2 linked regions of the Oryctolagus cuniculus genome follow. The protein of the gene in region 1 purifies or fractionates together with the protein of each later gene. This does not show direct contact. Links are inferred from orthologs where the notes say so. Each region holds a gene or a part of one and is shown in the gene's direction. Other genes may lie near its edges.

Region 1 (5,683 bases):
GGCCTGGGGTCCGGGGTGCCCCCGAAGCGGGCCCGCAAGGGCCCCTGGGATGAGGACGAGTCGCAGCAGGCGTCCCAGGAGGAGGAGCTGGCGATGGACGAGGAGGAGGAGCTGGAGCTGGAGTGCCGGCTGCAGGAGCAGGAGGAGGAGCTGCGTGCCGCCCTGGAGGGGCCGGGAGACGGTGAGGCCGGGCGCCCTCGGCCCCCGCCCCCCCCCCGAGTCACCGCCCTCCCACTCGGGGCGGGGGAGCGTGGAGCGCCAGCCCACGAGCCCTCCCCCACCCCGCAGGGCAGTTCTCGCCAGCCGCCCTGGATCCCCGCTGGCTGCGGCCCTCGCCGTCCCCGCTGGACCCCCAGACGGAGGCCCTCGTCTTCCAGCAGCTGGAGATCGACCACTACGTGGGTGAGGGGCAGGGCGCGCCCGGCGCCAGGTGCTGGGCCGGGAGGGCCGGGCCTGGGGCTCCGATGACGGCCGAGGGTTCAGCGTGGGCCGGAGGACAGAGCGTGGGGCTGGCGGGCTGTGAGGGAGTGGCTCTGAGCCGGGCGTGGCCCCGCCTCCCTCGGGCCGTGGCCCCGCCTCCCTCGGGCAGTGCTCCCTGAGCAGGGCTGAGTGGACGTGCACGCTGGAGCCCGTGTTTGGTTCCTGAAAGACTTACTGATTTATCTGAGAGAGAGAGAGAGCTCGCAATCCACTGGTTCACTCCCCAGATGGCCACAACAGCCAGGGCAGGGCCAGGCACGAGCCAGGAGCCTCATCCGGGCCTCCATGCGGGTGCAGGGCCCAAACACTTGGGCCCTCCTGCACTGCTTTCCCAGGCTGTTAGCGGGGAGCTGGACCAGAGGCGGAGCAGCCGGGACCCCACCAGCGCCCGCGGGATGCCGTGTCCCAGGCAGCGGCTTACAGCGCTCCGCCGCGCCCGGAGTCGGGGCTTTGCCGGGGCGGGGGTGGGGTCTAGGGAGGCCGCCTTCACAGAGCCTGCCCTCTCCTGTGACCCGCACCCCAGGCCCAGCGCGGCCCCTGCCTTGGGGGCCCCCTGCAGCCAGCAGCTCCGTGCCCGTGCTCCGGGCCTTCGGCGTCACGGACGAGGGCGTCTCGGTCTGCTGCCACATCCACGGCTTCAGCCCCTACTTCTATGTCCCCGCGCCCTCCGGTGAGCGCCCCCGCCCCGCCGGGAGGCCCCGCCCCGCCGGGAGGCCCCGCCCCGCGGCCCTGACCGCCTCTCTCGCCAGGCTTCGGCCCCGAGCACCTGGGCGACTTCCAGCGCGAGCTGAACGCGGCCATCAGCCGGGACCAGCGCGGCGGGAAGGAGCTGGCCGGGCCGGCCGTGCTGGCCGTGGAGCTGTGTTCCCGCGAGAGTGAGTGGCGCCGCCGGGCCGGGCGGGGCGGGGCGGGCGTCCGGCCGGCCGGTCCCAGCGTCCTCTGTCCGCAGGCATGTTCGGGTACCACGGGCACGGCCCCTCCCCGTTCCTGCGCGTCAGCCTGGCGCTGCCCCGCCTCGTGGCGCCCGCCCGGCGCCTGCTGGAGCAGGGCATCAGGGTGGCAGGCCTGGGCACCCCCAGCTTCGCGCCCTACGAGGCCAACGTGGACTTCGAGATCCGGTACGGCCCTGCCTCCGCCCGGCCCCGCCCCCAGCCCCGCCCCCCGCCCGCTGACCCTCAGCGCTTCCAGGTTCATGGTGGACACTGACATCGTTGGCTGCAACTGGCTGGAGCTCCCGGCCGGGAAATACGTCCTCCGGCCGGAGGGGAAGGTGCGGGGCTCCCCGGGGGCGGGGGCAGGGGCAGGGGCGGGGACCTCCGCCGCTGACCCCGCCCCCCGCAGGTCACGCTGTGTCAGCTGGAGGCCGACGTGCTGTGGTCGGATGTGGTCAGTCACCCGCCCGAGGGGCAGTGGCAGCGCATCGCACCCCTGCGCGTGCTCAGCTTCGACATCGAGTGTGCTGGCCGCAAAGGTCAGTCCCGGGCCGGCAGCTAAGGGTGGAGAGGGGCTGAGCGGGGCGGGCGGCGGCGAGGCCGGGGCTGGAGAGAGGCAGCGGCCAGAGCCCGCTTCCTGTGTGCCCCCGCCTCCCAGGCATCTTCCCGGAGCCCGAGCGGGACCCCGTGATCCAGATCTGCTCGCTGGGCCTGCGCTGGGGCGAGCCGGAGCCCTTCCTGCGCCTGGCGCTCACCCTGCGGCCCTGTGCCCCCATCCTGGGCGCCCAGGTGCAGAGCTACGAGCGGGAAGAGGAGCTGCTGCAGGTGCCTCTCCCCGCCCCTCCCAGCACCCCTGCGCGGGACTGGGGTGCGGGCCATTCCAGGGTGTTCCCCGGGTGACCCCGCGCCCCCGCGCAGGCCTGGTCCACGTTCGTGCGCACCTTGGACCCCGACGTGATCACCGGCTACAACATCCAGAACTTCGACCTCCCGTACCTCATCTCCCGCGCCCAGACCCTCAAGGTGAGGGCGGGGAGGGGCGGCGGCTTCCCGGGCTGTGTCCTCGTCCTGGCCGGGGCCCTGCCCTGCCGAGTCCAGCGGTCCCTTGCAGCTGGTCAGAGGCGAGGAGTGTTGCTGAGGGACGGTGCCGGGTCCTCGGTCCCTTCCCCCTGCCCGGGTCCCTGTCCAGTCCCCTACAGCGGCCACCTTGAGCCAGACTTGCCCTGATGACCTGGGCTCGCCCGCAGGGACGCATCCCGGACAGGTCGCCCTTGGGAGGAGCCGGGGGTCAGACCCTCAGTGTCCTGGGGGGCGCCAGTGAGCCTGTGCTGCTGTCTGGCCGCTTGGGTCATGAAGAAGAGACCCCGGGGCCCCCAAGCTCCAGGGAGACCACACCTGCCGGCCGGGCCACTGCGCCTGCCACCCGGTGCCACTCACCTGGGGCCTCCCAGGCCCGGCCCTGCCCCCGGCCCGTCTCCTCCACGCTGGGCCCTCTACCCCGCTCTGCAGGGGTCTCCTGCTCCTCACCCTGCAGCCTGTCAGGCCCCAGCCCCTCCTGACCCCAGCCCTTCTGTGACCCCAGCCCCCTCCCTGACCCCAGCCCCCTCCCTGACCCCAGCCCCCACCCTGACCCCAGCCCCCTCCCTGACCCCAGCCCCCACCCTGACCCCAGCCCCTCCTGACCCCAGCCCCCTGCCTGACCCCAGCCCCCTCCCTGACCCCAGCCCCTGCCTGACCCCAGCCCCCTCCCTGACCCCAGCCCCTCCCTGACCCCAGCCCTTCTGTGACCCCAGCCCCCTCCCTGACCCCAGCCCCTGCCTGACCCCAGCCCACTGCCTGACCCCAGCCCCCTCCCTGACCCCAGCCCCTCCTGACCCCAGCCCCTCCCTGACCCCAGCCTCCTCCCTGACCCCAGCCCCTCCCTGACCCCAGCCTCCTCCCTGACCCCAGCCCCTCCCTGACCCCAGCCCCCTCCCTGACCCCGGCCCCTGCCTGACCCTGGCCCCCTCCCTGACCCTGGCCCCCTCCCTGACCCCAGCCCCCTCCCTGACCCCGGCCCCTCCCTGACCCCGGCCCCTGCCTGACCCTGGCCCCCTCCCTGACCCCAGCCCCTCCCTGACCCCAGCCTCCTCCCTGACCCCAGCCCCCTCCCTGACCCCAGCCCCTCCCTGACCCCAGCCTCCTCCCTGACCCCAGCCCCTCCCTGACCCCAGCCCCCTCCCTGACCCCGGCCCCTGCCTGACCCTGGCCCCCTCCCTGACCCCGGCCCCTCCCTGACCGCGGCCCCAAGGCAGCCGCAGGGTCCCCGTGCGCTCACCTGCGGACTTGCGCCTCCGCCCCCAGGTGCCGTCTTTCCCGTTCCTGGGCCGAGTGGCCAACCTCCGCTCCAGCATCCGGGACTCCTCGTTCCAGTCGAAGCAGACCGGCCGGCGGGACAGCAAGGTGGTCAGCATCGTGGGCCGCGTGCAGATGGACATGCTGCAGGTAGGCGGGGGCCGGCGCCCAGCCCCGGGAGGCCGCGCCCGGGCCCACACCCAGCGCCGCCCGCCCCCCCCAGGTGCTGCTGCGGGAGCACAAGCTGCGCTCCTACACGCTCAACGCCGTGAGCTTCCACTTCCTGGGCGAGCAGAAGGAGGACGTGCAGCACAGCATCATCACGGACCTGCAGGTGCCCGCGCCCTCCGACCCCTGACCCCGCCCCCGCCCCGGGCCACCCCGGCCTGGAGCCCCCGCGGCCCCGCCCGACCCCGGCCTGGAGGCCCCCCCCACCGCCCCCGCGGCCCCGCCCCCGTCCACCCCGGCCTGGAGCCCCCGCGGCCCCGCCCCCAGCCACCCCGGCCTGGAGCCCCCGCGGCCCCGCCCGACCCCCGTCCTCCCCCCGACCCCCACCCTCCCCCCGACCCCCACGACCCTGCCCCGCCCCCGTCCACCCCGGCCTGGAGCCCCCGCGGCCCCGCCCTGACCCCGGCCCCGCCCCCGTCCACCCCGGCCTGGAGCCCCCGCGGCCCCGCCCTGACCCCGGCCCCGCCCCCGTCCACCCCGGCCTGGAGCCCCCGCGGCCCCGCCCGACCCCCCCGGCCGTCCCGCAGAACGGGAACGAGCAGACGCGCCGCCGGCTGGCCGTGTACTGCCTCAAGGACGCGCTGCTGCCGCTGCGGCTGCTGGAGCGCCTCATGGTGCTGGTGAACGCCGTGGAGATGGCGCGCGTCACGGGCGTGCCGCTCAGCTACCTGCTCAGCCGCGGCCAGCAGGTCAAGGTCGTGTCCCAGCTGCTGCGGCAGGTCAGTGGCCCGGCGCGGGCGGGCGGAGCCCCGGCCCCCAGGGCCTGCCCGCCCCGGCCCAGCCCCGGCCTGCTCACCGCGGCCCTCCTCAGGCCATGCGCGAGGGGCTGCTGATGCCCGTGGTGAAGACGGAGGGCGGCGAGGACTACACGGGGGCCACCGTCATCGAGCCCCTCAAAGGGTGAGGCCCAGGGCGGGGCGGGGGCGGGGCGGCCGGGGCGGGGGCGGGGGCGGGGGCGGGCGGGGCGGGGGCTCCCGGCCCTGACCCCCGGCTCCTCCCCAGGTACTACGACGTCCCCATCGCCACCCTGGACTTCTCCTCGCTGTACCCGTCCATCATGATGGCCCACAACCTGTGCTACACCACGCTGCTGCGGCCCGGGGCCGCCCAGAAGCTGGGGTAGGCCCTCCTTCCCACGGGCCCCGGAAGTGCAGGGGCGGCCCGGGGGGCTGCGGTGCTCACGCCTGAGACTCGGGGCTGAGAGGGGCCGCACCCCTGCCCCCGCAGCCTGAGCGCCGACCAGTTCATCAGGACGCCCACGGGGGACGAGTTCGTGAAGACGTCCGTGCGGAAGGGGCTGCTGCCCCAGATCCTGGAGAACCTGCTCAGCGCCCGCAAGAGGTGGGCTCCCGGCGGGCGCCGTCCCGGCTCGTGGCTCCGACTTGGGGGTGGGGCTTCCCGGCGGGGCCGCCCCCTCGTGGCCGGGTGTGCATTCCCACAGGGCACCCCCAGCCGGTCCCGCGGCCCCGCGCCGTGCCCGCAGCGTCCCCAGACCTCAGCAGCCTTTCCCCGCCCCCTCTCAGGGCCAAGGCCGAGCTGGCTCGGGAGACCGACCCCCTGCGGCGGCAAGTGCTGGACGGGCGGCAGCTGGCGCTGAAGGTGAGCGCCAACTCTGTGTATGGCTTCACCGGCGCCCAGGTGGGCAGGCTGCCGTGCCTGGAGATCTCGCAGGTGAGCTCTGCCCCAACCCAGGGCGGGGCGGGGGGGGG
Region 2 (5,683 bases), on another chromosome or scaffold:
AAAGAGAGATCTTCATCCACTTGATCTCTCCCCAAATGGCTGCAGCAACCAGGCTGGGCCAGGCCAAAGCCAGGAGCTAAGAGCTTCTTCCAGGTCTCCTGCCTGGTTGGCAGGGCCCAAGCACCTGGGCCATCTTCCACTGCTTTCCCAGGCGTATTACCAGGGAGCTGGATTGGAAGTGTAGCAGCCCTGATTTGAACTTGTGCCCATATGGGATTTCGGCACCGCGGGCAGCTGCTTTACCTGCTATACCACAGCATCAGCCCCAGGTCCATTTTTTTATAAATAACAGCTTTGGCAAGAGCATTGTGGTGCAGCAGGTTAACCTGCCACTTGTGAAGCCCGCATCCCACATTGGAGTGTCTGATTTGAGTCCTGGATGCTGCATGCTTCCAATCCCTTTTTCTGCTAATGCATCTGGAAGATAGCAGAGTATGGCCCATTTACTATCTCTATGGACTTGCCTAACCTGGAAATTTCATATAATATATGACCTTCATAATGGGCTTCTTTCAATTAACATGTTGTCAGGGTCCATCCATGTTGAAGTGTATATCAGTTCCACATTTCTTTTTTTTTTTTTTTTTTTTAACAGATTTCTTTATTTGAAAGGCAGAGTTACAAGGGAGAAAGGGAGAGACAGAGAGAGAAAGAGATCTTTCATCTGATGGTTTATTCTCCAAGTGGCTGCAATGCCAGGGCCTGAGCCAAGCCAAAGCCAGGAGTCTGTAACTCCATCCGGGTCTTTCACATTGGTGGAAGGTACCCAAGCAATTGGGCCATCTTCTTCTGCTTTCCTAGGCACATTAGCTGGGAGCTGGAGCAGAAGTAGAACTCCTGGGACTTGAATCTGTGCTCCTGTGGGATGCCAGTGTCATGGGTGGCAGCTTATCCTGCTATACCACAACACCAGCCCCAGCTACATTTCTTTCCTAACTGAATAATATTCCATTGTATAGATATGCCACATTTTTGTTTATTCCTTGGTTAGTGGATATCTAGATTATTTCCACTTTTTAGCTACTCTGAATAATGCTACTATGAGCATTTATGTGCCTTGTTCCATTTTTAAATGCTCTGAATGCACATTTTTCTACTTCTGAGTAGAAACCTTCTATAAGTTCATGTCCTAAGCATTCTGACTAGAGTCATCTAATTTTGGCCCCAATTTTCCTGATGATATCTAGCATTTTCTTTGAGGTTTAACATAACTGTGTGGCCAGCTCTCCTCCAGAAATCTGCTTCCTACTCATTCCTGGTTAAACTACTTCTAGTACGTTAAAGTATAATCTCTGTAGAGCTCTTTTGAAGACAAACCACCTTGTCACTTCAGTCCGGATTCCCCATGTCAATCGCCTAACACAGTTAGAACCTTTATTCTGGCCATCTCACTCTGTAACCTTCCAGTTGCAAAGTTTTGTGGTTTTTTTGTTTTGTTTTTTTGTTTGTTTGTTTGTTTGTTTCTTTTTCCCTTAGGCCTTTGTGGTTGTTGTCAGCATCTTTTCCTTGGTAACTTACAAAAATACATGTCTTCTCTGCCTGTCTTGGGTAAGCAGTAGCTTCCAGTCACCTCAGAAATGCTGTGTGTAGCTGCTAAGCTTTGTGTCAAAAGAACATCACAATCATAGCACTGGGGTTAAAGAGGGAGCATAGTGCCCATGCAGCACCCAGCTGGGAGGACCTGGAAGTGAGATTTCTCTTGGCTCTCAAGTGCCTCTGCTGATGCCTGGTTAGTCTGGGGATCAGGCGTCACTAGAGGGCACCATTTTTCCTGGACTCTTGTTCTTTTAACAGAACTTGGCTTTGCTTCCATGTGCAGAGGGTGAGTTTGACTAATTGCAAAATACTTACTTCTTTAGAGGTTTGAACTGGGTAATGGCAGACTCTCTCTTTACTTCCTATTTTCAGATCTTCTCTGGAGAACCCAGAACCCAGGACTCGGGCACGAGGGATCCAGCTTTTGTCACAGGTGCTACTCCAGTGTCACTCTCTGCTCCTGGAGAAGGAAGGTACTGGCATCATTAGGAGGAATGGCTTCCTGGATTACTGTACAAAGGCCTCCTGTGTCTATCCAAACCATTTTGGAAGGTGGGGTGGGGTGGCACAGGGTCTTCATTCCTCATTGGTGTAAGTATCAGATGATTAGAATCAAGACGTTAAGACATGGCTTTCAGGGACTACTTCTGCCTCTCTCTCTCTCTAACTCTGCCTTTCAAATAAGTAAATCTTAAGAGAAAGAAAAAGGAAAGGAAGGAAGGGAGGAAGAGAAAAGAAAAGAAAACAGAAAGAAGGAAGGAAGGAAAATTTGTGGGCATCAGTTCCGGAGGGAGGGAGGGAAAGAGGGAAATTTGTGGCCATCAGTTCCGTAGCTAGGCAGTTCTGGGTCTGCAAATGGGTTTGATTTTACTGTGGACCTTTGTGAAAATGGAAAGTAAGAGATGTCCCTCTGTTTTCCTGATTAATCAAGTCAATACCTTTGGTTCAGGGGGCATGGGGTATCTCTTGAAGGAGAAAAATTTAGTGCATCCCAAACTAAAACAGCCTTACAAACTTAGGGAAGGAGCAAACTAGTGGGCCCTCCTCATGGCTTTGTCAGCTAACGGCTGAATCTGGTTTGTGCAGTTGTACACCTGATCCTATTCTATGAGAATCGACTGAAGGACCATCATCTTGTGATCCCATCTGTCCTGCAAGGTTTGAGGGCACTTGTGAGTTCTTTTCATTGCTTATTGGTGACAGTGGGGCCCCCTGTCCAGTTCTGTCCTTGCTCTTTGGGGAGGTGAGGCCTCAACAGGAGTAGAGGACCAAATGTGGGACTACATTAATGTTAGTAGCCCTGTTTCTGCTTTTTATCATTTGAGCCACTGCAATTCAGAGCAAACTGGAAGGAGCTGCACAGGACCAATCAGCTTGAGAAACTCCCTCACTATTAGCATTTCCTCGTTACCCAGGATGCTGTGCTCCCCACTGTAGCTAGTGAAGCCTACTGTAGAGCTTTGTCTTGAAAGCCATGCTCATTTATCTTCCCTTCTCCTCCAGAGCCTGTGTGTAACCCTGCCCCCAGGGCTGGCCGTCTCTGTGCTTAAGGCCATCTTCCAAGAGGTACACGTACAAGTGAGTGATTAACAATCGTCTTCATATTCTCTGTCTCCAACCCATTGATATACTAGAATTAGAAGGCAGAAAGTGTTACCCTCCAAGTTGTGAACTCTTGTAGGCCTTGTGGCCATATTTATGCTTTATTCCTTGCCACCAGCTATGGAGATGGCTGTGTGCCATTTGTCTTGCACTTAGAGAAAGTAAGGCAAACCTCAGACGGGTTTGGGTTATTGGCACCACCACCGTAGTGCTGAGGCAATAGCCATACCCTAGGTCTATAGTTCCTGTTAGGTTGACCTTATACTTAGAGACTGTGAAGCAGAAAGTAGTTGTGTTAGTTGAAATATTCCTTGAACATGTTTTTCACCTACTTCCCCGTCCCCACCCCAAGTCCTTGCCACAGGTGGACCGACACACAGTCTATAGCATCATCACCAACTTCATGCAAATCCGGGAAGAAGGTAAGAGGCAGGGCTCTCTGGAAAACCTCAAAAGCAAGCATGTCATACTTTTCCCCCATTAATGGAACTCATTTTAGTCTAGGGTTTATATGGAAGAGCCGAGATTTCAAGAGAATGATAAAGAGAAACTAGAGAACCACTCTCTCCCTGGTGAAATGAAGGCAGAGTAGAGTTAGTTTGAGGCACTGTTTTAAACTCCTGCCTCTGTAACAGTGTGTGCATCGTTACACATCTAGCCAAGTACTTCTTTTGGACTAGGAAAACAAAAAGGATCTGCTCTGAAAGGCAAGAGAGGAGAGGCAGTGGTAGCAGAGGGACAGCACAAGCCCGGAGAAACCCCAAGCTTCCTATCTCATGAAACAGTAGTGACCTTGTTCTCTCCTTCCCAGAGCTAAAGGGCCTAGGAGCTGACTTCACCTTTGGCTTCATCCAGGTGATGGATGGGGAAAAAGATCCCCGTAATCTTCTGGTGGCCTTCCGTATCGTCCATGACCTCATCTCCAGGGACTATAGCCTGGGTATGTCTTGGTAGATGTGAATTAGGTGATTAGGGTTTGTCAAATAAATGAAGCTAGACAGTCAGCCTCATTCTCTGTTGCTACAGGACCCTTTGTGGAGGAGTTGTTTGAAGTGACTTCTTGCTATTTCCCTGTTGATTTCACCCCTGTAAGTAAACACCATCCTGCATTCATTCAAATACTAGTTGAGTATCTGCCATATGCTAGGCCCGGTTCTAGGCACTGAGGGTCCAGGTGAACAACAATCACTGCCCCTGTGAATCTACATTGCAGGAAACAGGCGCATGGAGAAGTATTTGACATCAGTGGAAGGTTTCAAGTCAGCATGTATTTGAGGACCTCCTTAAGCTCCTTAACCATTGTACTCAGTGCTGGGCACTATAGGATTATAAAACATGGCCCCTGCCTTTGGAGATTGGAACATTTAAGGAGCACTATGAAGTTAAGATACCAAAATGAGTAGTACTGTAGTTATTCGGAGAAGACAGAGTTTGGTGTGAGCTAGAGTAGGCAGATTCAAGTCTGTGCCCAGGAGTGTTCTGAAGAGTTATACAAACCCATGGCCCTTCTCTTTTCCAGCCACCTAATGATCCCCATGGAATCCAGAGAGAGGATCTCATCCTGAGTCTTCGAGCTGTGCTGGCTTCTACATCACGATTTGCTGAGGTGGGTTTAGGCGGGGTGAGGGTATTTAACCCATGCACATAGAAGAAAGAACAGTAAAAGTTTTTCTAAGAAAGAACAGTGAAAGCATGGGGGTAAACAAAAGATCTGGTAATGTTTTAGAATGTGACATCCTGCGAGTGTGTTGTGTGGAAGGTATCTTTAGGCCTTTGGTATAGAAAACTTATCTTCTCTTCCTTTAAGATAGTAATCTTTTTGAAATTTTGTACCTTTGCTGTCTTGCTCATTTTTTGGTGTCTGGTGCTCTGGCACAGACACAATTCCTGACTGGAGTTTAGCTCCTTGATATGACTGTGACACTACCTCTCAGGCTCAACTTCTCTCTCACAGTTCCTGCTGCCCCTGCTAATTGAGAAGGTGGATTCTGAGATTCTCAGTGCCAAGCTGGATTCTCTGCAGACTCTGGTAAGTAATTTTTCTCCTTGGAGGATCCAGCTGCCTTTCAACAAGTTAAGAGTTCTGTGGGCCGGCGCCGCGGCTCAATAGGCTAATCCTCTGCCTGTGGTACCGGCATACCGGGTTCTAGTCCCAGTTGAGGCGCCGGATTCTGTCCTGGTTGCCCCTCTTCCAGGCCAGCTCTCTGCTGTGGCCCAGGAGTGCAGTGGAGGATGGCCCAGGTGCTTGAGCCCTGCACCCCATGGGAGACCAGGAGAAGCACCTGGCTCCTGGCTTCGGATCAGCGCGATGCGCCGGCCACAGCGCACCGGCTATGGTGGCCATTGGAGGGTGAACCAACGGCAAAAGGAAGACCTTTCTCTCTGTCTCTCTCTCTCTCTCACTGTCCACTCTGCCTGTCAAAAAAAAAAAAAAAAAAAAAAAAAGAGTTCTATGGATATAGATTCTCAGACAGCCAGGAAATGGTTCATGGGCCTCAGGAAGATTACCCACGATTTAGGTCTATGTGTTGAGCTAAAGTCTCCA

What was found.
Region 2: the proteins of POLD1 (region 1) and MMS19 purify together in Homo sapiens (affinity purification with western blotting; 3 studies listed by BioGRID and IntAct, with this or other methods). This does not show direct contact. The link is inferred for Oryctolagus cuniculus from reciprocal best matches to the Homo sapiens genes POLD1 and MMS19.

What each region holds. Positions count from the first base shown.
Region 1 is NC_091449.1:7,461,166-7,466,848, reverse strand, and holds part of POLD1 (DNA polymerase delta catalytic subunit), read left to right. Parts: coding exon 1-181; intron 182-288; coding exon 289-402; intron 403-1,003; coding exon 1,004-1,150; intron 1,151-1,229; coding exon 1,230-1,355; intron 1,356-1,429; coding exon 1,430-1,598; intron 1,599-1,668; coding exon 1,669-1,750; intron 1,751-1,821; coding exon 1,822-1,951; intron 1,952-2,070; coding exon 2,071-2,237; intron 2,238-2,330; coding exon 2,331-2,435; intron 2,436-3,755; coding exon 3,756-3,896; intron 3,897-3,969; coding exon 3,970-4,080; intron 4,081-4,501; coding exon 4,502-4,693; intron 4,694-4,785; coding exon 4,786-4,874; intron 4,875-4,976; coding exon 4,977-5,093; intron 5,094-5,201; coding exon 5,202-5,315; intron 5,316-5,497; coding exon 5,498-5,645; intron 5,646-5,683. UniProt on the Homo sapiens protein: As the catalytic component of the trimeric (Pol-delta3 complex) and tetrameric DNA polymerase delta complexes (Pol-delta4 complex), plays a crucial role in high fidelity genome replication, including in lagging strand synthesis, and repair.
Region 2 is NC_091446.1:32,371,971-32,377,653, forward strand, and holds part of MMS19 (MMS19 nucleotide excision repair protein homolog), read left to right. Parts: intron 1-1,908; coding exon 1,909-2,009; intron 2,010-2,622; coding exon 2,623-2,708; intron 2,709-3,039; coding exon 3,040-3,114; intron 3,115-3,490; coding exon 3,491-3,560; intron 3,561-3,949; coding exon 3,950-4,078; intron 4,079-4,164; coding exon 4,165-4,226; intron 4,227-4,657; coding exon 4,658-4,744; intron 4,745-5,092; coding exon 5,093-5,167; intron 5,168-5,683. UniProt on the Homo sapiens protein: Key component of the cytosolic iron-sulfur protein assembly (CIA) complex, a multiprotein complex that mediates the incorporation of iron-sulfur cluster into apoproteins specifically involved in DNA metabolism and genomic integrity.